4 linked regions of the Notamacropus eugenii genome follow. The protein of the gene in region 1 purifies or fractionates together with the protein of each later gene. This does not show direct contact. Links are inferred from orthologs where the notes say so. Each region holds a gene or a part of one and is shown in the gene's direction. Other genes may lie near its edges. The genes, in order: SINHCAF, ING2, SAP30L and ARID4A.

What was found.
Region 2: the proteins of SINHCAF (region 1) and ING2 purify together in Homo sapiens (affinity purification with mass spectrometry; 3 studies listed by BioGRID and IntAct, counting the BioPlex papers as one, with this or other methods). This does not show direct contact. The link is inferred for Notamacropus eugenii from reciprocal best matches to the Homo sapiens genes SINHCAF and ING2.
Region 3: the proteins of SINHCAF (region 1) and SAP30L purify together in Homo sapiens (affinity purification with mass spectrometry; 3 studies listed by BioGRID and IntAct, counting the BioPlex papers as one, with this or other methods). This does not show direct contact. The link is inferred for Notamacropus eugenii from reciprocal best matches to the Homo sapiens genes SINHCAF and SAP30L.
Region 4: the proteins of SINHCAF (region 1) and ARID4A purify together in Homo sapiens (affinity purification with mass spectrometry; 3 studies listed by BioGRID and IntAct, counting the BioPlex papers as one, with this or other methods). This does not show direct contact. The link is inferred for Notamacropus eugenii from reciprocal best matches to the Homo sapiens genes SINHCAF and ARID4A.

Annotation. Positions count from the first base shown.
Region 1 is NC_092874.1:215,685,699-215,692,995, forward strand, and holds the start of SINHCAF (SIN3-HDAC complex-associated factor), read left to right. Parts: upstream 1-4,201; 5' UTR 4,202-7,297. UniProt on the Homo sapiens protein: Subunit of the Sin3 deacetylase complex (Sin3/HDAC), this subunit is important for the repression of genes encoding components of the TGF-beta signaling pathway.
Region 2 is NC_092878.1:101,933,917-101,941,428, forward strand, and holds the start of ING2 (inhibitor of growth protein 2), read left to right. Parts: upstream 1-4,412; 5' UTR 4,413-4,806; coding exon 4,807-4,981; intron 4,982-7,512. UniProt on the Homo sapiens protein: Seems to be involved in p53/TP53 activation and p53/TP53-dependent apoptotic pathways, probably by enhancing acetylation of p53/TP53. Component of a mSin3A-like corepressor complex, which is probably involved in deacetylation of nucleosomal histones.
Region 3 is NC_092872.1:382,823,338-382,831,138, forward strand, and holds the start of SAP30L (histone deacetylase complex subunit SAP30L), read left to right. Parts: upstream 1-4,681; 5' UTR 4,682-4,764; coding exon 4,765-4,989; intron 4,990-7,801.
Region 4 is NC_092872.1:301,127,074-301,135,138, forward strand, and holds the start of ARID4A (AT-rich interactive domain-containing protein 4A), read left to right. Parts: upstream 1-4,999; 5' UTR 5,000-5,263; intron 5,264-6,377; 5' UTR 6,378-6,417; coding exon 6,418-6,423; intron 6,424-8,065.

The DNA of each region.
Region 1 (7,297 bases):
AATAACTACAGTGTACCTAAGGGAAATATCTTCAGAACTTTGGCAAAGGGACTTCAAGGATCTGTGAGTTATCAAACCTTTGCCACTATGCTTTCTAAACTTTAGTCCACATTTTCCTGGGCTCCGTACTTCCTCTGTATTCAATTGTGAGTGTGTCACAGACTTTGGGGGTGGAAGGAGGGGGTGTTTTGTGCTGACTGCTCTTACAATAATAGCTTTGTAAATACCTTTTCTAAAAGCAGGAAGGAAGAAATACTATTACATCATCAGAAATGACATTAGGAATAGATGTGGAGAAACCTGGGAAGGATTGTATGAATTGATGCAGAATGAATTGAGCAGAATTGGAAGAGCAACATATACAGTTGATTATAAAAAACAATGTATACATTGTTTTAAAAAATAATTTAAAAATAAGAAAAATTAAAATTTTTGAAAGATCTAAGAACTCTGATCAACGCAATCATAATTGATTGCAACTCCAGAGGACTGAAAATAAAACATGCTTCTTACTTCTTGACATAAAGGTTAACTGACTATATTTGTACAATTAGATGTAGGTTTTCAGCGTGGCCAATGTGTATATTTGTTTTCTTTGCCTGTTTTGTTTTTTACTTTCAGAGAGGAAGAATTGGGGAGAGACGGTAGATAATGATAGTGGTAGAAGAATAAACACTTCAATGAAGATTTCAAAAAATCATAGAATTTAAGGAGTTAGAAGGAAACAGACAACTGAGACAACTTTAAAACTAACAGGCTGAATTTATTACATATTTTAAAGAAAATAGGGAGCAAGCTGTTCATGGTGGATATTTGTTGTTTCATGTGCAAGCTACTTTTTCTGTTCTTTGTGTTTGACAATATTTATCAAGTTCAGAATGTCAAAAATTTAAAAAGACAGCAGTTCCACCTGGAGATGTTCCCCGAGGACTGGAAGACTGTGATTCATCGACTAGGAACTTCAGTCAACTCCAATGGCTCCTCATCACTTCTAGGACCAAATATAAAATCCTCTGTTTGGCTTTTAAAACCCTTCATAACCTGGCCTCCTCCAACCTTTCTAGTATTCTTATATCTTTTTCCCCAGTGCCCCATGCACTCTTATGACCCAGTGACAGTGACACCCTTGCTGTTCCTCAAACAAGAAGCTTCATCTCCCATCTTGGTGCATTTCTTACTGGCTGTCTACTGTGTCTGGAATTCTCTCCCTCCTTATTTCTATCTCTTGCCCTCCTTAGCTCCCTTCAAGTATCGGATAAAATCTCACCTTCTACAAGAAGCCTTTCTTCCTTTGATGCCAGTGCCTTCCTTCAGTTAATTTTTTTTTCAAGTTTATTCTATGTTTGGCTTGATTGTTTGTATGTTGTCTTTCTGATTAGACTGAGACTAGGAATTGCCTCTTACCTTTCTTCATATCGCTAGCATTTAGTACAGTGCTTGGCATATAGCAGACACTTAATAAATGCTAGTTGACCAATGAATTTAACCTCTCTCAGCCTCAGTTTCCTCATCTGGAAAATGGAAATACTAACACCTGCCTCCCAGAATTGTCGTGCCAATTAAATGAGATAGTATTTGTAAAATGTTTTGCAAATTTTTAAGCACTATATAAATGTTAGTCATTATTATATATTTTTAGGCAGCTAGGCTTGGTGGATAGAGAGCACTGTGCTTGGAATTAGGAACACCAGAGTTCAAATCCTGTCTCAAATGCTCACTAGCTATGAGACCCTAGGCAAGTCATTTAATGTCGATTTGCCTTAATCCACTCGAATATCTTTGCCAAGAAAACTCAGTGGACAGTTCACAGGACCATAAAGAGTCATGCACAGGTGAAGGTACCACTGCTGCAGCAGTGTGGAGCAGGCATTTCCTGCCTGTTTACTCCAAGTGGATCAGGAAGCCCCTCTACTGCCATGGCATTCAAAGACAAGGGCAAGACACTGGTGGAGCCCAGAGTAGTCATTCACTGGAACTAAATCATCCTCACCAGTTTCAATGTGAAGTCACTAGAGAAAGTGTGTGTTGATCTAATTAGAGGAGCCAAAGAAAAGAACATGAAAGTGAAGGGACCTGTTTGAATGCCCATTAAGACACTTGGAATCACAACTGAAAAACCTTGCAGTGAAGGTTCAAAGACTTGGGATCGATTTCAGATAATAATCCACAAACGCCTTATTGATTTAAACAGTCCTGAAATTGTTAAACAGATCATTTCATTGAACCAGGTGAAGTTGAAATGATCATTGGAAATGCCTAATCAATCATCTCTTTTAATAAATTGATTGCAACTATTAAAAAACAGTCAGACAAAATTGAACAACAGTGGGGAAGTTAGGGTATTCAGGCAGTATCAAAATGTGTATTGAATTCCTCAAGTATGAGGGCAGAAATTAGGGAGGAAAAAAAATCACCAAACTCTTAAAGAAAGAGTGTCCTGAAGATTGGTAGATAACGGCTACCAGCACTAGTACTCAAAGGAGTGGTTACTGAGTGCTGATGATAGATTGAATGCTTAGAGGTGGCATTGTGAAGCAAGTAGTATTCCAATTCCTCTACCTCAACCGGTGAGTCAGAGAATGATTGTGGTGGAAAGGATGGCCAGAGTGGCTGTTGTCAGGAAAGAACCAAATCTTAGTAAGAGTCAGAAGATGGAAGGGATAGGAAAAGAAAAGACTTAAGAAAAAAATAAAGTTCATTACTTATGGAGCAAGCATTCCAGAGAGCACAGTGGAAATGATGGGAAGCTTTTAGATATTGGGAGGTGGGAGCAAAGAGGGGTTGTATTGAGGGGATGAGAATAAGGGAGTGGGCAGTCAGGAACAGAGTTTGAATAATAAACAATGATAGTTCATAATCTTTTGGGAATAGAGATGACAGAGCTTATTAATCATTGAGGAAAGAGTTCAGACAAGTTATCAATATCCCTAGGGGTTTGACCTTTAGGAAGCTCAGACAAGGGAACTAGTGGTGGGAAGAATAGAGTGGCATTTTTTCTTCTTCTCTTGCAGGCAGTTGAGGCCAAGAGACTGACTGACTGATCACAATGAAATGGTATTTCTTTCTGTTCCCTACAAGGAAAAAGAGTCCCTTGCAAACATACATATGTAATATACATATATCCATATGTACACATAAGTATGTGTATATATATACACATATATAGTGTGTGTGTATAGAGAAAGAAAGAGGGAACAAACTGTACTAAGACTTTTGGGATACCCAGTATACGTACAAACAACAAATACAAAATATTTTGAGGGTGGAACCTGGAGCTGGAGCTCATGTATCTGTGTTGGTATTTGCAGTGGTATTTGACTTGAACTTTGAAGGGAGCTAGGAGAGATTTTGAGACAGCAGGGTGTCTAAGTAGATAGAATGCTAGGCCTAGAGTCCAGAAGACCTGAGTTCAAATCTAGCCTCAGACACTAGTTGGGTGATCCTCAGCAAATCCCTTAACCTCTGTTTGCTTAATCCCACTGGAGAAGGAAATGGCAAACCACTTCAGTATCTTTGCCAAGAAAACTCCTTATGGGATCACAAAGAGTTGGACAATGACTGAGTGACTGAAGAACAAAAACAGAAGGGATTTTAGGGGGCAGTCGAGTACATTCAAGTGATTGGGACAAGCTGTGCAAAGGCACAGAGAAAGGAGATAGAATATTATTAAGGAACTACAAGAAGAGTAGTTTGATTGTGATGTAGTGGACAAGCTCCTGGAGGAGATGCACTTGGTACTGGCAAAGAGAAGGACTTCATAATAAAGCCACCTTAAGATCAGATGCTGTGTCAGTCTCATTCTTCACAAGAGAACTATGAAGACTCCTAAGGAAAAGCTAAACTGGATCAAAATCAAATGTTCCTAGGGAAAACCTTGTTTGGAGCCATAAACAACAGAGTATTATTATTGAGAATCTTCCAAGATATGAACCTTGGCTAAGTAAGTTCAGAGATGTTTTAAGTGATGCACAGATTGCAAGAGAGCTCACTGTAGGTAAGAAATAGTCCTTCCCAACAACCTGGCAAATTAGCATAATTTAGGGGTATTGGTATGGCTGCCTTGTTCCTATTAGTTGAGAGTCAGTTACAATGGCCAATAAAAATCTAACAATTAGCATTTCTAGACTAAAAAAAATGTTTTTAATGCATTGATATTAGCTACCAGTAGAGTAAATTATTCACTTAGAAACATAAATACTGACAAAAACCTATTAATTATTTATTTTTGTTAAATAAGAATTAGTTCTCTCAGTTCTTTATATTAAAGCCCCTCCAAATCAAAAATAATAGTAAGAAATCATAGATATGAGTTAAAAATTTCTGAAAAGAAGTCAGTAAGTTCAAATGAATGAGAAAGTACTATTCTATTGAATAGAATTACATTAGACACATATTTTAAAGGGCTATATTGGTTATATATATATTATACATTTACAGTATAAAACCATATGAAGATAAGTGAGACAGGTGATCATTTTGCCCAAGTTTCTTATATTTTCACTTTCAGTTTTAGGGGGACTAGCCTCTAAGATTCCTTCCAGTTTTAAATTTTATGATATGGCAAAGGATAATTTAATTTTCATATTCATCAATTTACATATTTAACACAATTTATACCATAACTAATAGCAATCATTTAATCTTCACAAAAAATCAGCAGAGCTGATGTCTCATAGGAAGCAGTGGAGAAGAATGTTACAATAAGACTTTTTAAAAGCGCCTCACTAAAAAAAAATAGTTTTTATTATTATTGTTCTCATCTTACAAAATTTCCAATAAACCTGGTACACACTTTCCCAGAAATATCCATACCAACAGCAGGAAGAGTGAACACAGAGAACAAGGGGAATGTAGGGAGCCTGTGTGGCCAGAGACACACATGGAGGGTATGTAAGTAAGAAACATAGAATCACAAAATTTTAGAGCTGGAAAGAATTTCAGGGGCCATCTAGTACCTGATATACCTGAACAGGAATATTAAGGGTATGATTTAAATCCCTTTTCAACTCTCTTTTGGCTTCATCTGTCCATGAAAAAACTAAGAATGAGCTGTAGAGGAAATTATGAATTTGTCCTCTGGGCTTGGCTTTATCTACATCCAGAGGATGGGGAATCTATATGGAGGAATGGAAGAGGTTTGTGCTTTGAATTCAAGAACCCTAGAGGTATCTCTGGGAAAGTGTGTTTCAGGTTTATTAAAAGTATTCCTTTGCTACTTTCCTTACTATATTATTTTATGAAATGACTTTGCTTAGAATTCTGTCCTTGAATTACTCGAAAAGAAAATAAATTGTTTTCAGGCTTGTGAGTTATGATTTTGAGTATAACATTATCATCCTCAATTTATAATTAGAAACTATGAGGTTTAGCAAAGTTAAGTGATTTTCCCAAGGTCACACAACCAGTAGGCTGTGGAGTCAGGACTAGAGCCAAGGTTATCTTGAATTAGTGCTTCTTTCTCTGCACTCAAACATCATTTTAAATTACATTTTCAAACTAAGAGGATTTTCTATTATTTTTAGACGACAGGCAGACTAGGACAGATTTAGAGTCAGATGTGAGGTTAAAAGACACAGTTTCAAATGTTTCCTCTGCTACTTAGTACCTGAATGATCTTGGACTCCATTTTTAACCTCTATAGGCCTCTCATTCTTAATCTGTAAAATAAGGTTTGGCTAGATCAAAGGTTCTTAACTTTTTTATGTCATGAAACCTTTGACAGTATGATAAAGCCTATGGATTCATTATCAGAATATTTTAAAATTCATAAAATACATAGAATTAAAAATGAAAAAAATTATATTGAAATAGTCAGCAAAAGATTAAAAAAACAAGGTCACAGTTGAAGATTATGAATTCCATCTGCTAGACGACATATTCAAATACATCCTATGGAACAATAATCAATTATATTCCATTATTTTCCTTTTTTTTTAAGCACATAAGTCCATTTATCCAAACCAATGGCATCCTTCCTCTTTTTAATTTTTTAAAAAAGTTTTATACACCTTAGCAGGAATATTATGCTCCAGGTATTTTTCCATGACGACAACGATGATTTTAATAACACCTTAATTCATTCAGCTACATGATCACACTGAAATGGTAAACAATCAAATTTGTCAATAAGTGATTCAATTATGTTGTTTACGCTGATTCATTTAGAAACTCGCAACAATGTTTCTCTCCTTTTCCAGCCTTACTCATCAAAATGAGATAAGGTTGCTGGAAGAGTGATACATGTTAGTTTCCTCATTGTGTAACCGTCCAATTGAAATGAAATTCGATTTTTGCTAACGGTTGGGACGATTAGTTTTGATATCCCACCCTGGAAACTGCTACTAGCCTCTTCCTACTTCAACATACTTCCACATACACACTTTCCAAGTCCCGAGGCTGGTGCTATTTCTAATGAATACAATACGGGTGCACAGTCCGTCTGCAGGCTCTGGCTGCAGGCTTCCAGGCTGCCTGGCTCTCCAAGCCTCTCCAAGTCCCGGGGGAAGCCCAGCCACCCTGTTGCCACAGAAATGGAGAAGCCGTTCAACCAAAGCAAGCAGGAGAAACTGGCCTGAAAACGAAACGAAACGAAACAAAGCAAGGCATGGGAGGGGAGAAGAGGGTGAGTACGAGAAAGCTTTTTAAAATATCCCACTAAAAAGACCAGAAGGACGAAAAATCTGCTCCGCCAAGAAGAAACGGCTGGGAACACGAGCGAAGGGGGGGTCAGCACGTAAAAGTTCGGACCCGCCTCCGCATCACCCTGGACCTCAAGTTCATGGCAGGTGTGGAAGCCCGGCAAAGTGAAGCTTCTGGAAAAATAAAATAAAAATAAATAAAAATAAAAAGGAAGCTTCAGCCGCACGTTTTAAAAAAAGTCTTCTTTTCCTGCATCCATCTCACGAGGAAGACATTCACGCCTGCAGCCCGACTCCAGCCAGCGCGCTGTCCGTCCCCGGCCCGCTCCGCCTCTTCCCCCGTGGGGGCGTTTGTTTACGTGACGTGTCTGCTGTAGTAAGCAGCCCCCGCCCTCCTCTCCGTTTGGTCCTGCCCGCCATGTTTCCCGCGCGGCGCGTCTCCCCTTAAAAGGACAATAGAGGCTACGGGGGCGCGCGGGACCGCTGGGGCTTCCACCCTCCATCCCTCTCGTGTGCGCAAGAGCTCCCATGCAAATGAGTTCGATTCAAGAGAATTCTGTCCCGGGAACAGCGCGTGCGCAAAGGGAAATCGAAATCTACACCTTCCCGGCCCGAGGTAACAACTGCTGAATTGCAGGAGACAGTTTTTCCCGAGCAGG
Region 2 (7,512 bases), on another chromosome or scaffold:
ACGGTGTCAGAAATGTCTCACTCCCAAACGAATGGCGGTCAGTAAATCACCAAAGCAGGTAGATTCCTGCAGTGGTGGACAGAGCACTGAGATTTAGTCCCCTCGCTACACCTCACCACCTCTGTAACTTTCAGCAAGTTGCTTAGCCATCGGCAACTTCCCACTTTTCAAAGAATACCCCCTTGTTTCCAGATACTGGCACCCCCTAGCTTAGACCTGCATCGCCTCCTGCCAAGACTAGAATAAAAATAGCGCAGTGCAGAGTGCTTCCAATTGGTATCCTTGTCTCCCATCTCTTCCCCCTTCCAACCTATCCTCCCCTCAGCTACCAAAATGATACTCTTCCAGGGTGGATCTGACCATGGCACATGCCCTTCCCCAGGCAGGCAACTCCACGGCATCCTGATTACTACTCTCAAATTTTGAGAGCCTCATCAATCCTTCATCTTGCTGAAGAAATCAAGGGACAACAGCGAGGTGGTTTGTCTAGGGTCACAGAGCTAGTTAGTGGCAAAGACAAGGCTAGAACCCTGGTGGCCTGCACTCATTTTTTCACCATACAACACTACTAATCTATCCGAGCCACCCAGGATATTTTCCAAACCTGCCAAAATGAGATTTCTAAAACCTAGGTCTTATCATATTATTCCCCTAACCAAAACTCTCCAGGGGCTTTCTCTTGCCTGGAGGATCAAATTCAGGATCCCCTTTAGGTCATACACTAGCACTCATCAGAGGTGGGATATGAAGCCAGGTATTCTCTCTAGTCAGTGCTCTTTCCATTGTACCACAATATAAACTCAAGAGGAGATTGCCATGGAAAGCCCTTCCTATTCCGGCTCCAGCCTGTCTTTCCAGACTTTTTACATTACACATTAACACCTCCAAACTGCCTTACACACACATGTCATTCATCTGGCTGACTCCTTGCTGGGTCCTGGGTCAGGCTGTTATTTGAGTTTATTAACATGGTATGAGTTTGTTACTGTTATTTTTAAATTAATAAATTTATATTTTTAAAAAACATTTATGGTAAATATCAATAGCTATAACCTACATAAACAAAAGCCTCATAGCTTGGGGTCCTCAATAATTTTTTAGAGTGTAAAGAAGTCCAGAGACCAAATAGTTCGAGAACTGCTGCTCCAGACATTCTGCCCTGAGGTTCACCTAGACACAATCTAATTTCTGAGCCTGGAGAGCTGTGGCACTAGACTCCCAAAAGACCATAAACTACAGATACCTTGTGTGGTACAAAGTGAAGTTTCCTCAGCAGTCAATGGAGAAAGAAAATCTGCACTTTCTTCCAAGGGCATTGTGAGGTCAGCACTTTGTCAAGTCCCAAGCATCACAAAGAGGTGTGGCGTTATTTAACAATGAGTATGCCCAGTGCCCAGCACAGTGCTTTAAAAGTAACAGGTGTTCTATAAATACTGATTCATCAACTCCATAAGGAAATATACCTAAAAACAATGAGGCACAGAAGAGACAAATCAAAATGTACACACAGGTGGTAACACTCAAACTCACTAGCGATCACAGCTAGTCTGCTGGCTGCTGAGGGGGCCTGGTTGGTTGATTTAACCTAATGACAATTCTTTAAATCTCAAGTTTTCTAACACAGCACCCAGAAATGCAAAGTTTGCACTTAACAAAGCATTTCACCTCCTCAGGGCACCATACTAAAATGTCTTAGCTGGAAGGCCACAACCATTCGACTGTGAGCTCCTTCAAGTCCTCTGGCATCCCTCACGATGAGCATAATGCCTAGCTGGTAGCAGTCACTTAATAAGTGTTTACTGATTGACTCACACCCTCATTTTACACAGAACCTCAGTTATTAAGTAATTAGTCCAATTCAAGTAAACCAACATTTATTAAGCATCTATCATATACCTACCTGTAAGGCACTGTGCCAAATTTAAGAGCAGAAAAAGATCATCTTACATGCTTACTTAAAAATGTGAAAATTCCTCAGCTTAGCACTTACAGAGCTGCCCAACCTGGCTCTGAGGTGCCTTTGAGACATCACACTGCTTTCTTCCATAGACTTTACATCTAGTCCAAAGACCATATTTTCTGGTCTCTGAATTGAACATTTCATCTCCTGCTTCAATCCCCAAAGCACTCTTTGCCTCTCCAGGAATCCTTAACTTCCGTCAAGGTTCTGCTCTCAAGCCACTTTCTAAAATGGGTTGTTCAGTTTTTTTGTGTCACTGTCCCCTCGGGTAGTCTAGGAGAGCCCAAGGACCCTCCAAAAAATGTTTTTAAATGCACAAAAGATACAGGATTACAAAGAAACCAATTATATTGAAATGCAGTTATCAATATTTTTTTAAAAAAAACCTCTGGTTTGTAGGGAAAACCACTTTGATTCCTTTCTCCTAACATTATACTGCATTCACTTAAGCCTCTCCATATTGTTATCTCCCAGCAGAAGTAGTTGACATTCCAGATAGCTTTAAAGTTTAAAAATGCCATACAAATTATTTCATCTGACCTTCCACAACGCTTGTCAGGGAGATACTATTATTATTTCCATTTTACAGATAAGGAAACATAAGTGAATTTGCTGTGTGCGGCATTAAAATGTCTGAGACAGGATTCACCCTAGGTCTTCCAAAAACCAAGTCTGGTGCTCAGTCTACTACAACCAGCTTCCTCCTACAAAGGAAACTCCCTACATGAAGCAACTGTTTGGTGGCTACTCTGCCACCCAAGTGTCTCACCCACGGACGTTCTCGGTAACTGTTCTCTTTACTAGCCACAGAGGAAGGCGAGGCGGCGGGCAGCACAGGGCTCGGGGTTCAGGCCGGCCTCAGAGATCCCTTGGGGGAGCCGGGGCCGGCCTTTCAAGCCCTCTCAGCTTCAGTTTCAGCTGGTTACGAGAAAGGAGGGGAGGGGGAGAGAGAAAAGGAAATGGGGCCCAGCGTTGTAGCGAAGGTGAAAGGGGCTAACGCATGTAGGGCGCTTCATAACCCTTCAAAGCCCAGGCTCCGCTGGGCTGTTATCACTATTATTCTAAATACAAGACAAAGCGGAGTGTGGCAGGCACGAAGCACAGGCGCAGAGATGCTGCGTCTGCACATCACAGGACCCTGCTAACAACCCGGGCGGCCCAAAGGATGCCACCCCACCCGCGGCTGGGCCACGGTTTATTTGGCCTCCACGTTCCGCACACGTCGCATGCTGGACCCCGAGCGGCTCTCTGAACGTCGCGGGGTAGTCTGCCTCGCGGGACCCAACAGAACCCACAAGCGCAGCTTTGAGTTTCCAAGGCAAAGCCCACAGGCAGAAATGTGGCCAACATCTGGGGAAGCCGCGAAGCCGGGTCATCCTGGGCATCGGGGCCCGCCCCCGGGGGAGTCGCCCCTCTCAGCACCGAGCGCCCCCAAAGCTCCTACAAGGGCTTCCTGGGTGCGCGGCTTCTCGGGGACACCTGGGGGCCCCTGGACGCGACAGCAGGAGAATGGGGGATACGGATGGAGAGCTACGCAGACCGCAGGCCCCGGTTCCAGCCGCTGGCATCGCTGGGGGAGGGGCAGGGGGGGGAAAGGGAGGGAGGGAGCCGAGGGCCGGCCTGGGAAAAAGCTCCAGGTTACCATCCCCGTCTAGACCCCGGAGGCCAGGCCGGCGAGCCGGGCCTGGAAGGAGCGGAGGGGCCCACGGGCCCCGACTAGTCCACGCCAGGAGAGACCGCGAGAATACCCCCCCAAAAAAGCCCAGAGAACCCAGGGATGGGGGAGAGGGCGCCTACCTCCCAAGCCAGCAGCGCCCACGTGCTCAAGGAGCCCCGGAGCAGGGAGCCTGTGGGGCGGGGCCTGCGGGGCGGGGCCTGCGGGGCTCGGGGCCGAGCCAAGCCTGGACGCGCGGCATGCCGGGAGCCCCGGGGCCTCGCTGCACTCTGGGAACTGCAGTCTCCTCCGGCCTCGCTCCATATTGAAGGGAAAAAGGGGCCGCCAACTGCTCCATCTTACGCCTGGGGGGAGCCGCTCTGGATCTCCCAGAGGGGAGCTCGTTCGTCAGCGGGGTGCAGCCGGAGTCGGGCCGGACTCCAGACGGTTCGGGCGGAAGGAGGGCAAGGGGCAGCGAGGCGGGACAACAGCACTTCCACCGGCTAGCCGGCTCGCCACCCTAGACTGAGCAAAGGGGCGGGGTGACAGCGCTTCTCCTTTAAGAGGGGGCGGGGCAGAGCCTGCCGTTTGTCCTCTTCCCCTCCTCTTCCTCCTTCCCTCCTACTTTCACCTCCCCCAGCCGCGAGATGACTGACCAATCACCGGGGCGGCCGGAGGAAGGCGGGAGAATGCGAACCCTTCTGTCGGGCGGGAGGGGCGGGCACCGAGCCTTATAAGGGCTGAGCCCTGCGCAAGCGCAGAGGCATCTGCAGTCGGAGGGGAGGGGGGGCCGGAGAGACCCACACACACATACATACACACACTCTCACACACTCGCACCTCGACACTCACACTGGTACTTGGGAAAAGTGGGGGACGAGAAGGGGGACGGTCAGCGGGCGCTCGGCGGCGAAGGGAAGCGGGAGCAGATTGCGGGCGCGAGGGGGACGCGGAGCCCCGGCAGCCGTCCGGGACGCCCGAGCCCCGAGTCCCCGCGGCGGCGGCACGGCCGGGGAGCCCCGCCGCCCGGGCGCTGAGGGGGGCCGCTGATCTCGCTCCGCCCCAGGACGTGTGCCCCCGGCGGGGTATGTGAGGGTCCCCCCCGGGGGAGGCGGTCGGCTGCGCCCCCGCGAGGGGCCCGGGCGGTGCATGTGTGGCCGCTGGATGCGGAGGCGGCGGCGGCGGCGGCAGGATGTTGGGCCAGCAGCAGCAGCAGCAGCTGTGCCCGGCGGCCGGGCTCCTGGCCGGGGAGCGGGGCCGGCTGCTGTCCGGCTACGTGCAGGACTACCTCGAGTGCGTGGAGTCGCTGCCCCTGGACATGCAGCGGAACGTGTCCGTGCTGCGAGAGATCGACACCAAGTACCAGGGTGAGTGGGGCGGCAGGCCGGGCGCGCGGCAGCCGGGCTGCTTCGGGCACGGAATCAGCCATTTTATTAGCGGGGATCGCTCCTCCGGCTCTGCCCCGGGTGGGGAGGAGGAGGAGCTCCGGGGGAGGACAGCTCGGCCCCGCGCCCCCCACCCCTCAAAGGCCGATTCGGTGGAACGTGCCGGGGGAGAGGGCAGCGGGGGCGGGCCCCGGGAAGGCCCCTCCCTCTCCTTCCCCTGCCCCGGTGCGGAGGTCTCCCTGGCCCGGGCCCCCCCCGGGGAGGCGGGCCGGCAGGGCCCGGGGACGGCTGCTCCGCCTCGGCTCCACTCCTTCCGCTAAACAGTTAAAGGAGGGAGGGGCCGGGGGGGGGGGTCGGGTCTCTGCCCTGGAGTGGGCGGTGCCTCCCAGCGTAGCGCCGGGGACTCGAGGGGTGAGTGGGCCGCGGGGAGCCCCGGGGACGCGGGCCGCAGATCTGCCCGACTCCCGCCCCGCGGCTGCCCCGGCTCGGAGGAGACGCTTCCCGCAGCTGGCGCGTGGGGCCCGGGGCGCCTGCGTCACTTCCGGGGTGGGCCGCCCCTCCGGGGAGGGAGGGGGGGCCTGGCTAATGGGGCTCCGGAGCGGGGTCGGGGCCAGTCCGGGGGTTCGGGCCGGAGGCTCCGAGCGCCGCCTCGGCCCCTGCCCCGAAAGGCATTCGTTACTGCCCAGGGCGCTGCCTCGGCGGGGGCGGGGGGAGGGGTGCCGGAGCCCCCTGTCATCGCGGCCCCGCCCCCTCCTGCCCGGTCCGGCCCAGCTGGGGCTGCGCTCCGAGTGGAGCGGGCCGGCCCGGGGGTCAGGACTGGGAGGGTCGGCCGGCCGGGCCTCGGGCCCCCGCAGATCTGGCCTCCCCGGAACGTCGGGAGGTTCCAGCCCTTGTTGGAAGATGCTCCCGCCCCCAGCCCTCCGTTCTCTGCCCGCGGCAGGGATGCCAGCTTCCCGAGGCTGCCTAGGGAGAAACTTTTCCTAGTCCTCGAAGTCCGTCAGACCATGTGAGGGGCAGCAGGAGCCCACCCTACTTGGAGCCGGGGGGATTTGACCCTTTGCGATCTGCCCTCGGCCCCACCGTTCCACCGAAACTGGTCATTTTGAAGTCTATGCCCTTTGAACTTCTGGAAAGCGTTTGACATGAACCCCCTCCGAGGTCTCGCCCACCTGATTTCCATCCTCCTTCAAGGGTCATTGATTGATGTGGCCCGTTCACTTTTATGTAGACGGCTTCCGACCTGGGTTAGAGCATTCGACTTCGGAAGTTTACTGGGGGGGAGGGGGGGCACTGGACAAAATGAGAGTCTTAATGCCCCCGAACTCCCAGCGTTGTCAGGAGGATAAAATCCTGCAGAGATCAACTACGATAATATTGCCTGCCTTTCTCTGTTTTCTGGCTTGAGTTTTTCTTCATTTTCGACAGTTAACATCTAAAACAGGATGTTAGAAGTGCAAAGGGCCTTAAAGAACTTAATTCCTTCATTTTGTAAATGAGGAAACTAAGGCTCGTCCCAGTGGGATGCAGCTAATTCATGGAAGAGCGAGGTCCCTACTAGAGCTGAGGGCTCCTGATCTTCAGGGCTCTCTTTCCACCAAGATTCATTTTCTCCTCTACATGAATGTTCAGTCCATAACTCAGACTCAGCCAAGTTTAGCTTAGCCTCCTACCAAAAAACCCCCAAATGACTCAAATCCAAATCAGTCTTTTTGATTTTCACCTCCACGGTTTCTCTCCATTTTGCCCTTGGTCCCATTGCTACCACCCTAGAGCATGCACTCCGGGGTTGTGCAGTCGCTGTAAGTCCAGCTGGTGGGTCATCAAGTGGATTCAAGGCTTCCCTCCACAGGGAGGCCTTCCATTTCCCAACAAATGAAGTTCTAACTCCCTTACAAGCAGGTATCCTACTTTTATGGCCTTCTCATACTCTGTGCAGTGTAAGGGAAAGGGTACCGAGTTTGATGTCAGAAGACAAACACCAGTTGAATTGGGCAGTGATAGTCACATAACCCTGACCAGGTCAGTTTAACTCAGCGCCAGTTTTCACATATGTAAAATGGCCATAATAATTTTATTGTATGGATATGAAATAGATATCTCAGAGGAAATCTAGTCTAACACCTTCATGTGACAGATTGACAGATGAGAAAACTTAGGCATAGAGAAGATGTGATTTGTCCAAGACCACAGGTTGTAAGCAGAGCTGGGATCCAGATTTAAGTCCCACCTGACAAGGTTATTGTGAGAGCTAGTGGTGCTGTGCAGAGCCAAGCTAGGAGTCAGGAAGACCTGAATTCAAATGTGGCCCCGGACACTTCCTAGCAGTGGGACTTAATCATTTGACCTTTCCTTCAGTTTCCTTGTCTGTAAAGTGGGGATGATTATATATAGCACCTACTTCTCAGGATTGTTGTGAGGATCAAATGAGATGGTTGTAAAGTGCTTAGCACAGTTCCTGGCACATACTAGTTGCTATATAAATGTTAGCTATTATTATCCTTTGTAAAGCCTAA
Region 3 (7,801 bases), on another chromosome or scaffold:
CAAGCATTTCTTAAGCACTTATTGCATGGCAGGCACTGTGCTAAGCACTAGACATACAAAGAAAGGCAAAACACATGGTCCCTGCCTTCAAAAGAACTCACATTTTAATAAGAGAAACAATAGGTAAATAACTATGAATATATATTATATACATTATATTAATATATCATTATTATTATACACACGCACACACACAACAGATAGGAGGTAATCTTCAGAGAGAAAACCCTGGCATAAGGAGTGTAGGGAGAGGTAGGGCGGTCCTTGAGGACAGATGGAGTTTCACATGTGAGGAAGAGCAAAAAGGCCAATAATGTTGCCGGAAAAGATAAGAAGACTGGAAAGATAGGAAAAGGCAAAGTTATGAACGAAAATGGAAAACTATACAACACTTCACAAAACAGAAGACCCTGTGGAGTTTGAGGATAATAAAGAACCACAATACATTGTTCCTGAGTGTTTTAAAAAGGAAATGAGAATTATGAGGACAGAAATTTATGGTCTGCAAAGCAAAAATAATTGACGGAATAGAAAAACTTGAACCTGAAACTGCAAGTTGAACAGTACACACAGAGAGAACAGTACACAGAAGATCCAAAAAAACCTTAAAAGAAAATATGCTCACTATCCAAGCAAAACATACTGATCATGATAGAAATGAATTTATTTCCTGCAATAGGAATGAAGAAGACGGGAAACTAAATTTCAAAGAGTATCTCTCATCTACTTAAGGGCAGCCAGGTGGAGCAGTGGATAGAGTACTGGGTTGTATAGTTTGTCCTTCGTTCTTGAAGAGGACCATATCAGGATGAGGATGACATGGCTTACAACTGAATTGGATTTGAGGGAGGGCTGTGCAAAGTCCCCAGCCTCATTTTCTCCTCCAGAGCCATCTGATTCCAGTGGCCAGATAGAGATCAGGGCAAGTGGACATGATCTAGGATGCAGTGGGACGCCTTGGCCTTTTTAAGCTGAGGTCTTTCCGAGTTCTCGCTTTGAATGAGGCAATACACATTTAGTGATTAGGCCTATTTCAGAAGTGAGTCAAAGAAAGACCCGTTAAATTAAAAAAAAAATCAAACTGTGGGGGGAAAGCCCTCAGGGTTGCTGGCCTAAAGAGAAACAATTACTATTTACATTCACTCTAAGCTTTGAGGGGGCAAAAGATAACTATCAAGTGGTGCTTGGGCAGGGATCTAAGATTGGCCAATCAATAAGAACCAGAGCGAAATGGGTTTAAGGCATGGTCTTTAAGAAAAAAATCTAGTCAGTAAACCCTAAGATAACTAGGTGGGTTTCAGCCATCAAAAGACAGGAAGACCTGAGTTCAAATCTAGCCTCTGACACTTACTAGCTGTGTGACCCTGGGCAAGTAATTATCCTGTTTATCTCAGTTTCCTCGTCTCTATAATGAGCTGGAAAAGAAAATAGCAAATCACTCCAATATCTTTGCCAAGAAAACCCCAAATGGGGTCATGAAAAGCTGCATGTAACTGAAACAACACAAAGTTATGAAGTGCTTTAAATGCCAGCAGCTTTTATGTTTGATCTTAGAGGTCACAGAGAGCCACTGGAGTTCAGTAAGTCTATTAAGAATCCTTCTTGACTTCTCTGCAGGCTTTCACACTGTTGATCACTCTCTTCTCTCTAGGTATTCGTGACATGGTTATCTCTTCACCTGTCTGACTTCTCAATGTCCTCTGTCACATACACTAACCATAGGTGTCATTTCCTCCAAAGTTTTGTCCTAGGCCCTCTTCTTTTCTCATCAGCTCCCTTGGATTCAGACACAACCCATACCAAACTTTTAAATTGATTAATTAGGTAAACAACACTTGATCTCAATTTCCTTTTCTCTTGTTTTGTCTTCATTCAGAACACTAACAGGCGTTAACATCTTTTTTTTTTTTATTTTTTAATGTTTAACAATCACTGCCATACAATTGAGATTTTATCCCCCCCCACCTACTCCCCACTACCCCCCTCCCTCCCCACGACTGCATACAATTCTGTATAGATTCTACATATACTTGCCTATTGAGTATATTTTCACTATAGTCACGCTATGTAGTCAGACTAAAATAAATGAAAGAAATCGTATAACAAATCAGAACATGATACACAAACACATACCCATACACAAACATGATCTGCTACATTTTGTGAGTGACTTCCATATTTCTTTCTCTGAGTGTGGAAGGCATTTTGCCTTGAGAACCACCTTTGGGATTTTTTTTTTTTATAAGTAGTTTTTGCGTTATTACCAGGCGTTAACACCTTAAGTCAGACCTCAGAGGTAAACTCTAATTAAGCAAGGTGTGGTCCTTCCCCTCCCTAAACCCTTAGGGGCTTTCCTGGTCTGGACACTGCCACAGTTTTTATGTCCCCCAGGGCAGGATGCTGCAGCAGGTTTCCAGTATGTTTACTGGCACTGACTTCTCCAACAGGACTCTTCTACCCATGTCTGAAATTTGTCTTTTTGTGTGATACTGGGATGAATGAAAGAAGATATTCCTCTCTGGACTTGTCATTATTCCAAATAGCTCTTCATTAATGGAACAAAAGTGGTACAGTTAGGCTCTTCTGTGACCTCACACAGCCATGTTACCCACATGCCATCTCCCAACTGGGTGCCTTTGCATAAACTAGCCCCTGTGCCTGGGATGCCCTCCTTCCTCACCACAGCTTGAGTCCGTAGCTCCCTTCAAAGCTCAACTCAAGTGTACCTCCTAAATGAGGCCTCTCTGGTCTCCTATTTTCCTGACCACCCTTCAATTTCCCCCCAAAATTACTTTTTATGTTTCATATTTACTTACATGTGTACATGTTTTCCTAATAGAATGTAAATCCATTTCTGTCTCTGTATCTCTGGTCTTAGCATAGCACTGATACATAGTAGGCACTTGAATGTTTGATTTAATACCTACTTTACAATGTTGTTAGTATTTTGCAAGCTATAAATACAAGCTATCAATACTCCTAATAATTTTAATGATTCCTCTTTTGAAGTATAGGTATAAAGTATGAGAGACAGAACTCTCTCTGCTTCTTCATGAGACTATCTCCTCTCACTCCTTTACTCTTCTGTGATCCTCAGCTACCAGACACTGTCTTCGTTAACTCATTTCCTTGGTTTTGAATCTTATCTCTAACATTTACTTTAAAAAATGATAGGACTTGAATTCGTCTCATTCTTCCCCCAATACCATCCCCTCATCCAAAACACTTAACTACCAATATGATCTTGGGCAAATCACTTAATCTCCTTGGGCCTCAGTTTTCTCATCTGTTGGCTAGGTGACCTCTGAGGTCCTCTCCTGCTTAAATCTAAGATCCTGGGATCTTCTTTAGCTTTCTGCTTGTAAGAGTGTCTCTGGTCCAACCCTTTCTCGTTTGGAGCTATTACCTTGTCTTTCTCACCTACCCAGTCAGTGCCCCTGTTTCTACCACTTCCCATACATACAATAGTCCTTGTCCCTCCACATGATTCTATTTCCCTATAACCTTTCAACCCTTTTATGTCTCTCCTTTCCCTACAGCACGTGTCTCCCCATATTCGCTTGAGTCTACTGCTCTAACTCTTGTCACTCTGTCCCATCATTACATCTGTCCCACTGTCTATCCATGTTCATCCATCCCCTCCCCCCAGCTCTTCTCTCTCTTCCCATTCCTTCTGTGGACTCATTTGCGCTTTCATCCATCCTTTCTCTTCCTGGGTCCTCATCTCTTCTAGGTCTCTCTATCCCTCTGTCCATCCATTCTGTCCCAGTGTCTGTCTATTCCTCCATCCTTGAATGTGACGTTGTCCATCCTTCCCATCCTTCTAAATTCCCCTAACGTGTCTCCACCCTTTGTTTCCTTCTTTCTGTCCCTTTCCCCCATCTGTCCCTATGGTTGTCCATCTCTCTGCCCCTCATCGTCTGACTGTCCCACTGTCCCTCTCTTCTGTCCCCTCCATGGTGCCACCTGTCCTCTGTCCTTATACTCCCCGTCTACCCCACTTGTCCTTCTATGTCTATGTCTACTCATCCCATCTGTGCCTCTGTCCATCCCCCCTGTCCTTGTGTCCCACTGTCCATCCTACTTGCCCCTCTGCGTTCATCAGTCCACCTCCAGTCGGACCCTTGTCCGTTCCGTTTGTCCGCCCCCATTTGTCCTCCTGTCCATCCCGCCTGTCCCTCTGTGTCCATCCATCTGTGCCTCTGTCCATCCCGCCTGTCCCTGGGACCCCCCACCTCCTCTGGATCTGCCCGTCCCCGCTACCCCGCCTGCCCCTCGGTGGCCCCGTCCTCCCCCGCCCGTCTTGAGGCAGCTGCTGGCCCCGGGCCGCGTCTCCTAGCCCGGCCACCAACTCTCTGGCTTTGCACTTTCTCTACTTCGGACCCGTCCCCGCAGAGTCCAGGAAGGAGCCGGCCTCTCCTGACTGGCGGGCGCGTCGCCCAATGACCAAGGCCGCCGAGGGATCCGGCCACGCCCCGTGTCTTCTAGAGTCCAATGGGAACTCGGGGGCGGGACTTCCGCCGCCGCCGCGGCCGCCGCCTCGGGGAGAGCGGGGCAGCCCAGTGGGCGCCGCGGGGCTCGCGGGGCTCCGGGGGCCGCGGGTTCGAGGCCGAGCCGGGCCCCGGCGCGCTCAGGCAGCGGGAGGCCGGGCCCGCGGGCGGGGCCGAGGGGACCGCCTCGGCAGGGGGGGCCGCGACCGGGCCGGGGTCCCGGGGGCAGGGGCTCGGGCTCCCCGTGAGCGTCCCCGGGGCCGGGGCCGGGGCCATGAACGGCTTTAGCACGGAGGAGGACAGCCGGGAAGGGCCCCCAGCCCCGGCCCCGGCCCCCGCGCCCACCGCCGCGCCCGCGCCCGCCCCCGGCTACGGCCAGAGCTGCTGCCTGATCGAGGACGGGGAGCGCTGCGTCCGGCCTGCCGGCAACGCCTCCTTCAGCAAGAGGATCCAGAAGAGCATCTCGCAGAAGAAACTCCGGCTGGACATCGACAAGAGCGTGAGTGCCCCCGCCCCCGCCGGGGGAGGAAACGGAGGCCCAGAGAGGGCAAGCGACTGGCCCAAGGTCACACAGCCCGCGCGCCCCCGAGCTAGAACCCGGGGCTCCCTCCGAGCCCCGCCTCCCCCCACCCCCACCCCCAGCACCATCCCCGCTCCCAGGTGAGAGGGGGGCGGGAGGGGGTCCGGCGGCGACCCTGAGCTGGAGGGCAGATGGAGCCTGGAGCCCGGACCGGGGCAGCTCTTGGGATCAGCAGAGCCGTTGCTTGGTTTCTTTTGTTGTGTGCGGGGTGAGAGTCCCAGGGTTTGGGAAGCAGCACCGGACGGACCACCGGGGGCTCCCCATTCTCACCCTGCCCTTATGGTCAGCAGGCTCTCGTGAAGCTCATTTGAGGGGGTGACCTTGGGCAAGTCATCCCTCCTCTCCTGCTCCCCGTGTTTAGTCATCAGTAAGCTGGGGGAGGTTGGGACCGATTATTTCTAAGCCCCTCCAGCTGCAGCATATTAGGAGGAAGGTGGTGGGGTCCCTTTTCTTCAGCTTCTAACTTTTCCCTCCTGGGGAACGTACATAAACACACGCCCTGAATTTTTCTTGAAGAATAGTCAAGTTGCTCATGGTTTATCCCCCAAAGGGTAAGGCTGCTTACAGAGGAAGGGTGCTTTCTGCTGTTTGTGGAAGTGGGCTTACAAAGATGAGGCTAGAAATAAGGCAGAGGTCGGGTTGGTTTTTGTTTGTTTTCCTGAGGAAGAGTGGTTTTTACGTTGAGTGGGAAAAGAGAGAGAGAGAGAGAGCCTTCCTGGACAGTTGTTTTTCCACTTTCAGGCCTTAATAGTTCCTTGCTTGCACCTCTCATGTATTTTATTCCATAGACTGAGTCCTTCCTTAACCTTTCTTGTGCATCAGCCCCCTTATAGACCTCTTCCCAGAATGATGATTTTAAGGAAATGCTAAATTGCACATAGAAGTTAGTGAAAATAAAGATTTAATTATTTTCCCATCCAACTTCATAAACCAATCCCATTTTCCGAACCATTATCTTGACTGCTTATGTTCTCTGAGGATAGAGACTGGCCTCCAGTCATCAAGTGTCACCTTTGACCCTGGGCAAGTCCCTTAATCTCTCTGTTCATACAACTCTACAAAATTGAAATTTGCGGAACAATTACCAATCTGCTTTGGTAGAATTGAGGGAGTTTTCTCACCTAGAGTACCCATGCAAATCTGAACCACAAACAAAAAAATCTTCCCCTGCACCCAGTCTTTTCCCCACAAACATACTAGCTAGTTTCGAAAAAACGCCTCACTTATTTGTAGCATTTTCTAGTTTACTAAGCCCCTTTCTGTCCACGGAGGTATGAGGTGGATAATGTGTGCTGATTTTTAACCCCATTTTATACATAAGCAAATTGAAGCCCTGTGAGCAGAAGTGCTGAGCCTGAGGCCACATGTCTCAGAAGAGGTAGAACCAGCACAGAAACCTGGGGCTCTTGATTTCCTCCTTCAAGTGCTCTTTGCATCGCTGTGCTACATCTTGCAACGTTATAAATATTTGTTAATTGAATGAATGGGAATTTAAATTTGATTACAACACGCTTAGGGCCTCCTACCTGATTGTAGGAAACTTGTCTGCAGGAGGTTCTAGTTTACAATTCTAGAGATGTTCTTAATTGGTTGATAATGAGTGCTTTTTAGAGTGTCATCTGTTGTCAAGTTTAGTGGCAGTTTCACTATTAAGGAGTCAGATTTGTTAAGGAGACTAGACAGGGTCTATTTAAAATTCAAGAAGTCTTAAGTGAGATGAATGAGTTCTTCCCACAGGTAGTAAGAGCCAAGAATCGAACCCAGGCCCTCTCACTGCAAGTCCAGTCCTCATTCCACCATTCAGGGGTGGGGAACCTGCATCCTCGAGGCTCCATGTGGTCTTCTGGGTCCTCAAGTGTGTCCTTTTGACTGAATCACGGACAGGGTTGGATGTGTAGCCTCGAGGCTGCAGGTTCCCCATCCCTGCTTTATATCAAACTGCCTCTCATGTAGAACTAAAGGATAAGCCGAAAAAAGAAAAGTTCTGCATTATCAGGTAGGTTTGGGCTTTTATAAATCCTTTCTAAAACTGTTTAGCAATTGCCGGAAGAGTGCCCTTTTGAAATCACAACTTATATTTACTACAGTTTATAGGTTCATTGACATCTGGATGCTTTTACAGCTGGATTGAGATTACAACTCTCCTCGTTAATTTAAACTGTTTTTGGTGGTTTTTCCATACATCTTAGGGATAGGAGGAAGAGAATGATGAATTGCAATAGCATTGCTAAAAGTAATAACTCCTCACTTCTCAAATGGTACTTTTTAGGAATAGATTCACTAGCAATTCTCTTTTCAAGGTGGTGTCATTTCAGAAAGATTCCATTTTCCTCTCAAGAATGAACAGGACTTCAGTTAAAAGTAACAGCTGTCTTGCTAAAAATCAGATTTGCAAACAGGGGGGAAAATGGAGGAAGGGGATACTCTTTCCAAATTTCAATCACCTGAATTACAGAAAATCTGTTTGTTCTTGTTAATGGTTAAAAGTATATGCTGACTCAGTATTTATAGAATCATAGAATGTCAGAGTAAGAAAAACCTTAGAATATAGAATGCATTTTTAGGACTGAAAGAGAGCTTAGAAACCATCTAGTTCAGCACCCTTATTTTTCACAGATAATGAAACTGAGGCCTGTAGAGGATGTGACTTGCCCAAGATCATGTTGATTAAAAAAAAAAAAGCCAGAAACTCCTTAATAGCCTCAGAAAGCAGCTGAGAGAGGCAAACTTT
Region 4 (8,065 bases), on another chromosome or scaffold:
CTTTCAAGATCAACTTCTGATCCCACTCTCTTTATAAAGCTTTTCCTGCCAAATCCTTTTCCTCCCAATTTCTTCTGACTCCTCTAATGTTATGTGATTATAAAATGTGACAATTAATCACTACCTTGCAATACTGCTTCCATTGTTTTCCTAAATAAATTTTTTTCCTGTTAAATAACAGGAATTTTAAAGCACATTTATGTCCCATCTTTCCAGCTGTATCACAGGCTCTTTAAGGACAGAAACTTTCTTTGTATTATCTAGAATACCTGGGCTAAAGCTTTGCATATTAAAACATCAAAGTATTTTAAATGCTCAAAAATTATCAATCTGCTAAAAATATTATCTACTCACTCCATAATCTGAAACATATTTTTATTTAGGCTTGTTCATAAAGGAAAACTAAGATTTATGAATTCCAGTGATTATGCAATTCAAAAGGGAAAAGTACAGCAATACGGGAGCTTGTACCTGGTTAGAAATTAACCTATTATTTAATTTTCTTTAGAGATAAATGATTCATTGGGAAATTTTTTGGCTGCACTACAGCTGTCAAATCTACTTCTCAACATCATGGAAAAGCTTACTGAAACCATTATACATTTCAGAGAGTACCATTTCTTACCTAACTTTGTTATATGTAGTAGCATTGCCATACAATATTAAAAACTGAAACTTATTTTTTTTGTATCATTCTAAAAATCACCTACCAGAAACATTCCAAGAAACAGTAAGAAAACAGGGTTAAAAGCCTTTGATGACTTTTTCCCTACAAAATATCAGGATAAATCTGAAAGACAAAGAATTAAAAATAGTGATGCTGTCCAGTCTATCTCATAGTGAAGCATAAAATCATTTTACAAGAATCAACTTATTCATAATACTTAGTCTACCTCTCTTAATAGTGTGTGGAGGTTGTGGGGTCAGAAGTCAGCTCAAATACTACCCCTGATGCTTACCATCCGCATGACCTTGCACAAGTCACAGCCTTCCTTAGTCTTCACCTTTAAAATAAGGGGACTGATTCAGATGCCCTCTGATATATTGTCCATTCCTAACCCCATGAGTCTATGAATAACATCATATACTATATCATCAGAATGAGGATGTTTGTATCCTTATACAAATTAAAAATCTGCTTCATCAAGACTCTTCAGGAACTTTAAAAAAAATTATATATAAAAAGGCACTTAAGATTAATCAGGAAATCACTATGATATTCTTCAAAAGATTCTCTAACCCTACATCCTACTAGAAATCAGAATCACTGAGAACTAAACCTGATATTTACACATGAAAAACAGTAATTCTCAAGGTCTTTACATTTGTGAGTGCTCAGGATTAAACAAAAGAGAATGAAACTGATGTATAACATAAGCAGAACCTAATAATTATTCATGTTTTCTCAAAAAAAGATTTTCAAAATTTATTTATACAAATAAAAAGAAAAATTTAACTTCACTGATCAATGCTATTTTTGTTTTTCCCAAATAGCCCCCCAAATGTCACTTCACAAGTGCTCAAAGCTTGCACTGTGTACTCTGAAGAGAGAAGAAATAAAGACAACAAAAGTGGTTGAGGCTATTGGTAGGTGAAAAAAGGAAACCATGTACCACCAGTAAATCCTAATCCTAATTAAACAAGAATATGTCAAGTATCAATAGATTCCCCTAATAGAGGGAAAAGAAATTCTCATTTTACTAAAAAAATTCACAAAAGATTGAAGTCTACGATCTTCTGTCTGCGGACATATCTAATTTATTATATCCCATGACATGCTATATAGCTATCTATGCAGAACCTAATTCCTATGTATGGAACACTTTAAGAATTACAAAATACTTTCCTCACAAAAACACCATGAGTCATAATTATGCCCATTTTACTTATCAAGAAACAGAGCTTCAGAGAGATTAAATAATTTATTTTCCCAACATCTAGCAGTGTCTGACAACTTGGTAGGCACTTAAGTGCTTGAGTAGGATCAAACAGCTAGAAAGTATCAAAGATAACACTAGAATTCAGTCATCTCTAAGATCACTACACCATGGAAATGACAACAATATTTTATACCACTATTTAAAAAAAAACGGATTTAAGACTTCTTTGCTAAATTCTAATGCTAAAAATTTCAATACCACTTATGACATCACAACTGATTTTAGTGGGCAAGACTACAACTTAATAAAAGTATAACTGACGTAGAAGGGTTTCCTGATGGTAAGTACTACATAATACAAGCAATGTGACTGACAGGAATATTTTTAAAATATATGTTTTTGGAACCACAGGCAAAAATGGAGCTTCAGTGTGTTACAATATAAATTTCTGCTTCATGAGAAAAGTTAAAAGACATTTATGTGATCAAATCTTATAATCAACTTAGTACCCAGCACACTGTACATAGGGAGCACAGTTAACAGCTGTTAAATGAATGAACATGAAGGGAAGATAGGGGAGATAGAAGGTTGCAGTTGTAGTTCCCTAATCATGTTTTCCTCAAGCTAATATTAATAGTTTGCTAATTCTCAACATTCGCTGGCTGGGACACAGGGTTCCAGGAGGGAAGGTACAACAAAAAGAAAGGATATCAAAAGCTGAGAAGATTATGGATATTAATCATTTGCATTAATAATTTACAATGCAAAGAAGCTATGCAAAGAAAACAGCTACAAATAGTTGAAAAGAAATAAAACATTTCTGCTCCTGTGATTACAATTTTGCTTTCACTGGAAAAAATTCCTTAGAAGACATATTAAAAAGGATTTCATTTATACTAAAAGATCACATACTATAAAACTCATGTAAAGTCCAAAATGAAAGCTGAACAGTAAAGAGAATTATCATTTCCCCAAAGCACCAAGACTCAAAATCTGTTGTTTGTTGCAGCCTGCCTGTTCTTCCTTCAAATATCTCTCTCCCAGATCCCCTTGTCATTACTTGATCCATGTCTTATGTCTAGAGTACTGCAATAGTTTCCTAATTTGTCATACAGTTGCCAGACTCCAACACCTCTTAAGCATCCTTCTAGATGTCAATGGATTAATCTTTCCTGAAGTGCCATCTTGGGAATGGTACTTTAAAACACTTTTAACACTTTGTTTAAAGTTTTGAACTGAAATTCAAAGGTTCTCTATTATCTGGTTTCTATCCTACCTTTCCAGTTTCACTTCCACTAAACAAAGTCTTAGTCAAACCAGCCTACTTGAAGCTCATTTTAGGCTTATTTTTGCTATACCTTCTGCATCCAATTAATTCTCTATACCCCAAAACAACCTCATCTTTGCCTATTAAATAAAAGCACAACACCCATCCTTCCCCTTCTTTCAACAATACATCACAATCTACCTCAAAAGACTTCTGACTAGGCATGAAAATTCATTTCCTAGGTGTTTTCGCCACCTCCTCCCCTCATTCTCAATATTTTCAGAATTATATAAGGACTCACCTCCGAAACAACGTTGAATGACTTTCTCAAATTCACCCAATCTACAGATCTTTAAGAGCCAAACTGCAAAATAATTGAGAGAAATTTTTTAAAAGCACTTATATCAAAGCACTTACACCTCACTAAATCTGACTCTAAAATAGTTTAAAGTCAACTAGAGATGTTGTGAGAATAAACAATAATGTGAATTCCTTAGAACCCAAAGCTTTTCTAATTTTAGTTAATACAGTTTAGCATATGCCAGTCTCTTTACATTAAAAAGCTACTCAATTAAGGAACAACACACACTTTACCTAGTTCAAACAAGTTTTTTCTAAATAAAATTTAAAATCCAGTTGCTGTGCTCCTCTCCAACCCAATCTCTGACTCATCATTACTTAAGATTTAAAAGTGATTTAAAATACTTTCATTTAAAAGGTCCATTACATAACTGCCGAATCAATCAATGGTCACCGTACCTCTTGGTGAATGATTACTGGAGGACTGTTGGACATACTACATTCCTGTCAAATACAATCTCCACTTAAAAAGAGAATTCTAGTTCGACACAGCAAGACCTTAGGCGAACAACTATCAGGGCAAACTGGGAAGGAGAACTCCTGAATCTTGAGAACCAGGGATTTCCCAGCTTCGAAGCTAGGGTGGAAACGCCCTTTTCTTAGGCAGGGGGCACCTGGCAAGAATAACTCCTTTCAAGTTTAGAGAAGTCAAACCTCGGCCCCTCTGCACGAGAATCAGGGAAGGCAAAGCACAGAGATGGGTGAGGGGTGTGGAGCCCCAGGGTCGAGCACACACCTTCTTTACCCATATAGGAGAAAAAGGGGAAGATCCAGCTCTACGAAGAGGTAGCAAACTCCACCCCCTCTTCTCCGGCGGGAGAGAAGGCCTCAATACTCCCCCCACCCCCATTCGTCCCCCCAGTGAGGAACTTACTCTGCCGCGGCCGCCGCGAGGCCCCCTCACTTCCGGTCTTAGTGCCGCTATTGCTGCGCCATCCCCTCAACCCCCCCCCCACACACACCCTCCCCCGTCAGTTAACCGCAGCCTTCAGTTGACCTTTGTGGATGGATCCCAAATTTATTCAGTCACTCACTGTGCTCTCACCCGGGATGGAAGGTGAAGGTCTAGTCCATGAGAACGAGTCAACCGGGTAAAGTCTCAGCTCCCCTCCTCGACAAGCTTAAAATGGGAAAGAGCCACAGCCACTGCTGCCGAGACAAAATGGCGCCGAGAACAGGATCTAGCGCAGGCGCCTTGTATAGTCCCTGCCCCGCCCCCGGTGCAAGCCCCTCTCCGCAGCTATGAGTTCCGTTTCCATGGGACACCCACTGCCAATCCCCGCTCTGGGTCGCTCTTCCTGACCCCCGAGTTCACCAATCAGTGATCACTCAAGCACATCCGGAGTCATCATCACCAATCATTTGTCAGGATCTACTGACTCAATTCCCAACTCCTCCAATAATGTTTGACTCTTCGGCTAACCAATCATAAGTACGATATTTCCTACCTGCTGCTTTTCTTACCAATCGGTGCACTCAAGGCGTTATATCCAATCGGGGCGGCGGGTAGCGAGCTCCAATGAGGAGCGCGGAAGGGTGCTCCATCGTCATGAGGGGCCAATAGGAGTTCGTGTAGGAGCGAGTCTGCTCAACAGCTTGTTATTTGGTGGATTGTGGCAGTAAATCGGGGCGAGCGGGGGACTGGGCGCAGGAACTGCCGCGGCGGCCAGGAGTGGTGCTGCCCGGACGGGGGCCCGCTAGGGTCAGTGTGCCTGGGGGGATCGAGAGCTGACAGCGCGTACTTAAGCCGCAGTTGGTAGGTAGGGAGAAGAGGAGCGGGGGCTATTGAATGGGCGAAGCGGCAGTAGCAGCTGGTGCTGCTGCCCGGGAGTCCCGGTGCACTTAGAGGTTTGGAGGTGGGGGTGGGGGCGGCAGAGGAGAAGCCTCAGCAGGGGGAACCGCTGCTGCCGATTTTCTTTTTTTCCTCCCTCCTCCCACCCCTTCTCCGGTTCCCGGAGTAAAATGGCTGTGGGGGTGGCCGCCCCGCTAAGTTTGCTCCGGCGGAGTGAGGAGCGGGGCTGCTCCCGGGAGAGGGGTCCCAACTCTGCGGCGCTTCTCCCTCGAGTGGGTTTGCGAGCTCGACCAGAGGGGTCGGGGTGGGGGCTTGGAGGACCGGCGCCTTTCGGAGCGCCACAAAAAAGTTGAGGCGGGTGGAGGGAGGAGGCAGTGGCTGCCACTGTGCGGTTCTCCTCCCCTCCCACACCCTGTCCCGGCTGCCTCCCTTCCTCTTCTCCACCCCCTCACTCCCCCACCCCCTCCTCCTCCTCCTCCTCCTCCTCCTCCTCTTTTCCCCTTTTCTCTTTTTCTCGGGCGGCGGGCGGCTGTTGCCCCTCTGGGACCCGGAGCCTGTTCTCCTGCCTGACATGGTGCAGAGCTGGTGGAGGCAGAGCAATGGCGCCGTGACACACCGCCGCCGCTGCCGCCGCCACCGCGGGCACCGGGGGGAGGGGAGAGAGGGGGGAAGCGGCCGAGAAGCGGGCGGGGGGGGGGGGGGGCAGAGGCGGGAGAGGGCGAGCGGAGGGAGACACGGACCGCCCCGGAGACTGCCCCCCGTAGGAGCCCGAGAAACAGAAACTGCCGCCCTCCGCCAGCACCGGCGGCACTCAGAGGAAGCCCCGACTTCACTTTGCCCGGGTGGAAGTGGGCAGAGGGGCGGAGGCAGGGAAGTCCTCCGAGGGGCGGCATGAAAGCTGGTTTGGGGGCTCCTCCCGCCCCCCCTCTTCCTTGGGCCTCTGCTTTTCCTCCCGGACCTGGGACAGCGAGGGCTGTGCCCCTCCCCGCTGGGGCTTGTTTACTCGGACGGCTTCTCGGGCTCTTGTTGGTTAACTGCACTTCTCTCTTCCTCCCTCACGCATCCTGCCCTGCCGAAGACTTCTCTTTGAGCTGGAACCTCTTAGATCGTCCCCCAAAATGAAGGTAAACGGGATAAGCGTGGCCCTCCCCGCTGGAGAGGGACCGGCCTGCCCCTTTTGGGTCATCCCTGCTCCTCCCCTGCTCTTGAGCTTTCGCTTTTGGGACTTTTGTTCTGAGAATTTTAAAAATATGCATTTATATACATATGTATACATATATTTATGTATATTTAAACTTTATTCCTTTGTCAGTCATTGAGGAGTGTGGGGGGAAATAGCATCTATTGAATGTGTCGGAAGCGATCGATGTGTATGAAGTGCCGTCCTCCTCGACCTCTTCTAAGGCCCTAGAATTCTAACTCTATCGAGGGGATCCGACTCTGAGCTGTTGTTCTTTGGGCGAATATTTTTCTTTAAACACTAATGACAGCGGCCTTTGCAAAACAATAGCTTTTGTCCTATCTTTGAGTTTCGGGGGATTTTGTTTGTGCGTTTCCCCAAAGAGCAAAGAATGTATGTGGAGTTGGAATGGAATGGAGGGAGCCTAGTGGAGAGAGATTTCAATTTTTCTAGGATTTTAGAAATAACATGCATTACACAAATCCATGAGGTTGAATTAAAACAATGCTTAATGCTCAGTCCATATGATAAATGTTATTAAACTCTTTTTAATGGAAAAGATTATTCCAAAATAATTCCAACAAGGAACATTTCAAAGGATGATAGGAAAGAAATGACATTTTATAATGATAGTTTAAAATAGTCCTGATTATACTTCTTTGCCACAAGAAGTTCTAAAATTTTATTAATTTATATGCTTTTAAAATTAGTTAATTTATCAAACTCATGATTGATTTATTGCCTTATTCATTTATTAAACCTCACTTTCCTAAATTCTTAATGCTTGCTGTGATTTTTATCAGGAAGAAAGGTGACAGCAAGCTTTGAAAAATGCTCCAAATATTTCAGAGTTTAAAACTTTAGGAAGGTAAATATAATTTAATAAATGAATAAAGTGACACTTTGAAAGTTTGAATGTTGTTTAAAACAACTAGTTGGAAAAATAAATTATTTTCCTACTTACAGTATACTACAACTGTTTTTAAATGTATGTGCCTATAAATAGCTCTGTGAATAAGTGCTAAGCTTCATATAAGATTTGTGTATAAAAGAGACAACAAAAGCATGTTCACACGAGGATTAGAGTTTATGGTAAAATGAAGTATCTATTTTTTTTTTTTGCCACTTCAGCATGTTGAAATTAGATATTTCCAAAGGAAGCTTCTTTTTTTACACCAGCAATATTAATGCAAAAAATCTTAGTGCTTCAAATGTAAGAGCATTAGTTTTATTTCTCTGTTATCAGCTGTTGTGACTTCCATTTCAACCTCAGTCTTCTGACACAGTACTGATTAAATAATGTTTTCAATTTTAAAATAGGTTGAATGGATACTTATTTATTTGTAGGTGTTACATTGTGTCTATTGTTGTTACAATGAATATTTGGTTAAAGCTCTCTACTGACATGTTTATCGTGGTAATTTAATAGTTTCGACTTAGAGGTAGGGTATCAAAGAAGATTTAAGTGTTTTGAAGCTTTAAAACAATAAAAAGTTATATAGACCATTTCAGGTCTTTAACAATATAACCCTAAGATTAATGTACTATATTCTCCTGAATTCTTAAACTTTTGGCATATGGTAAAG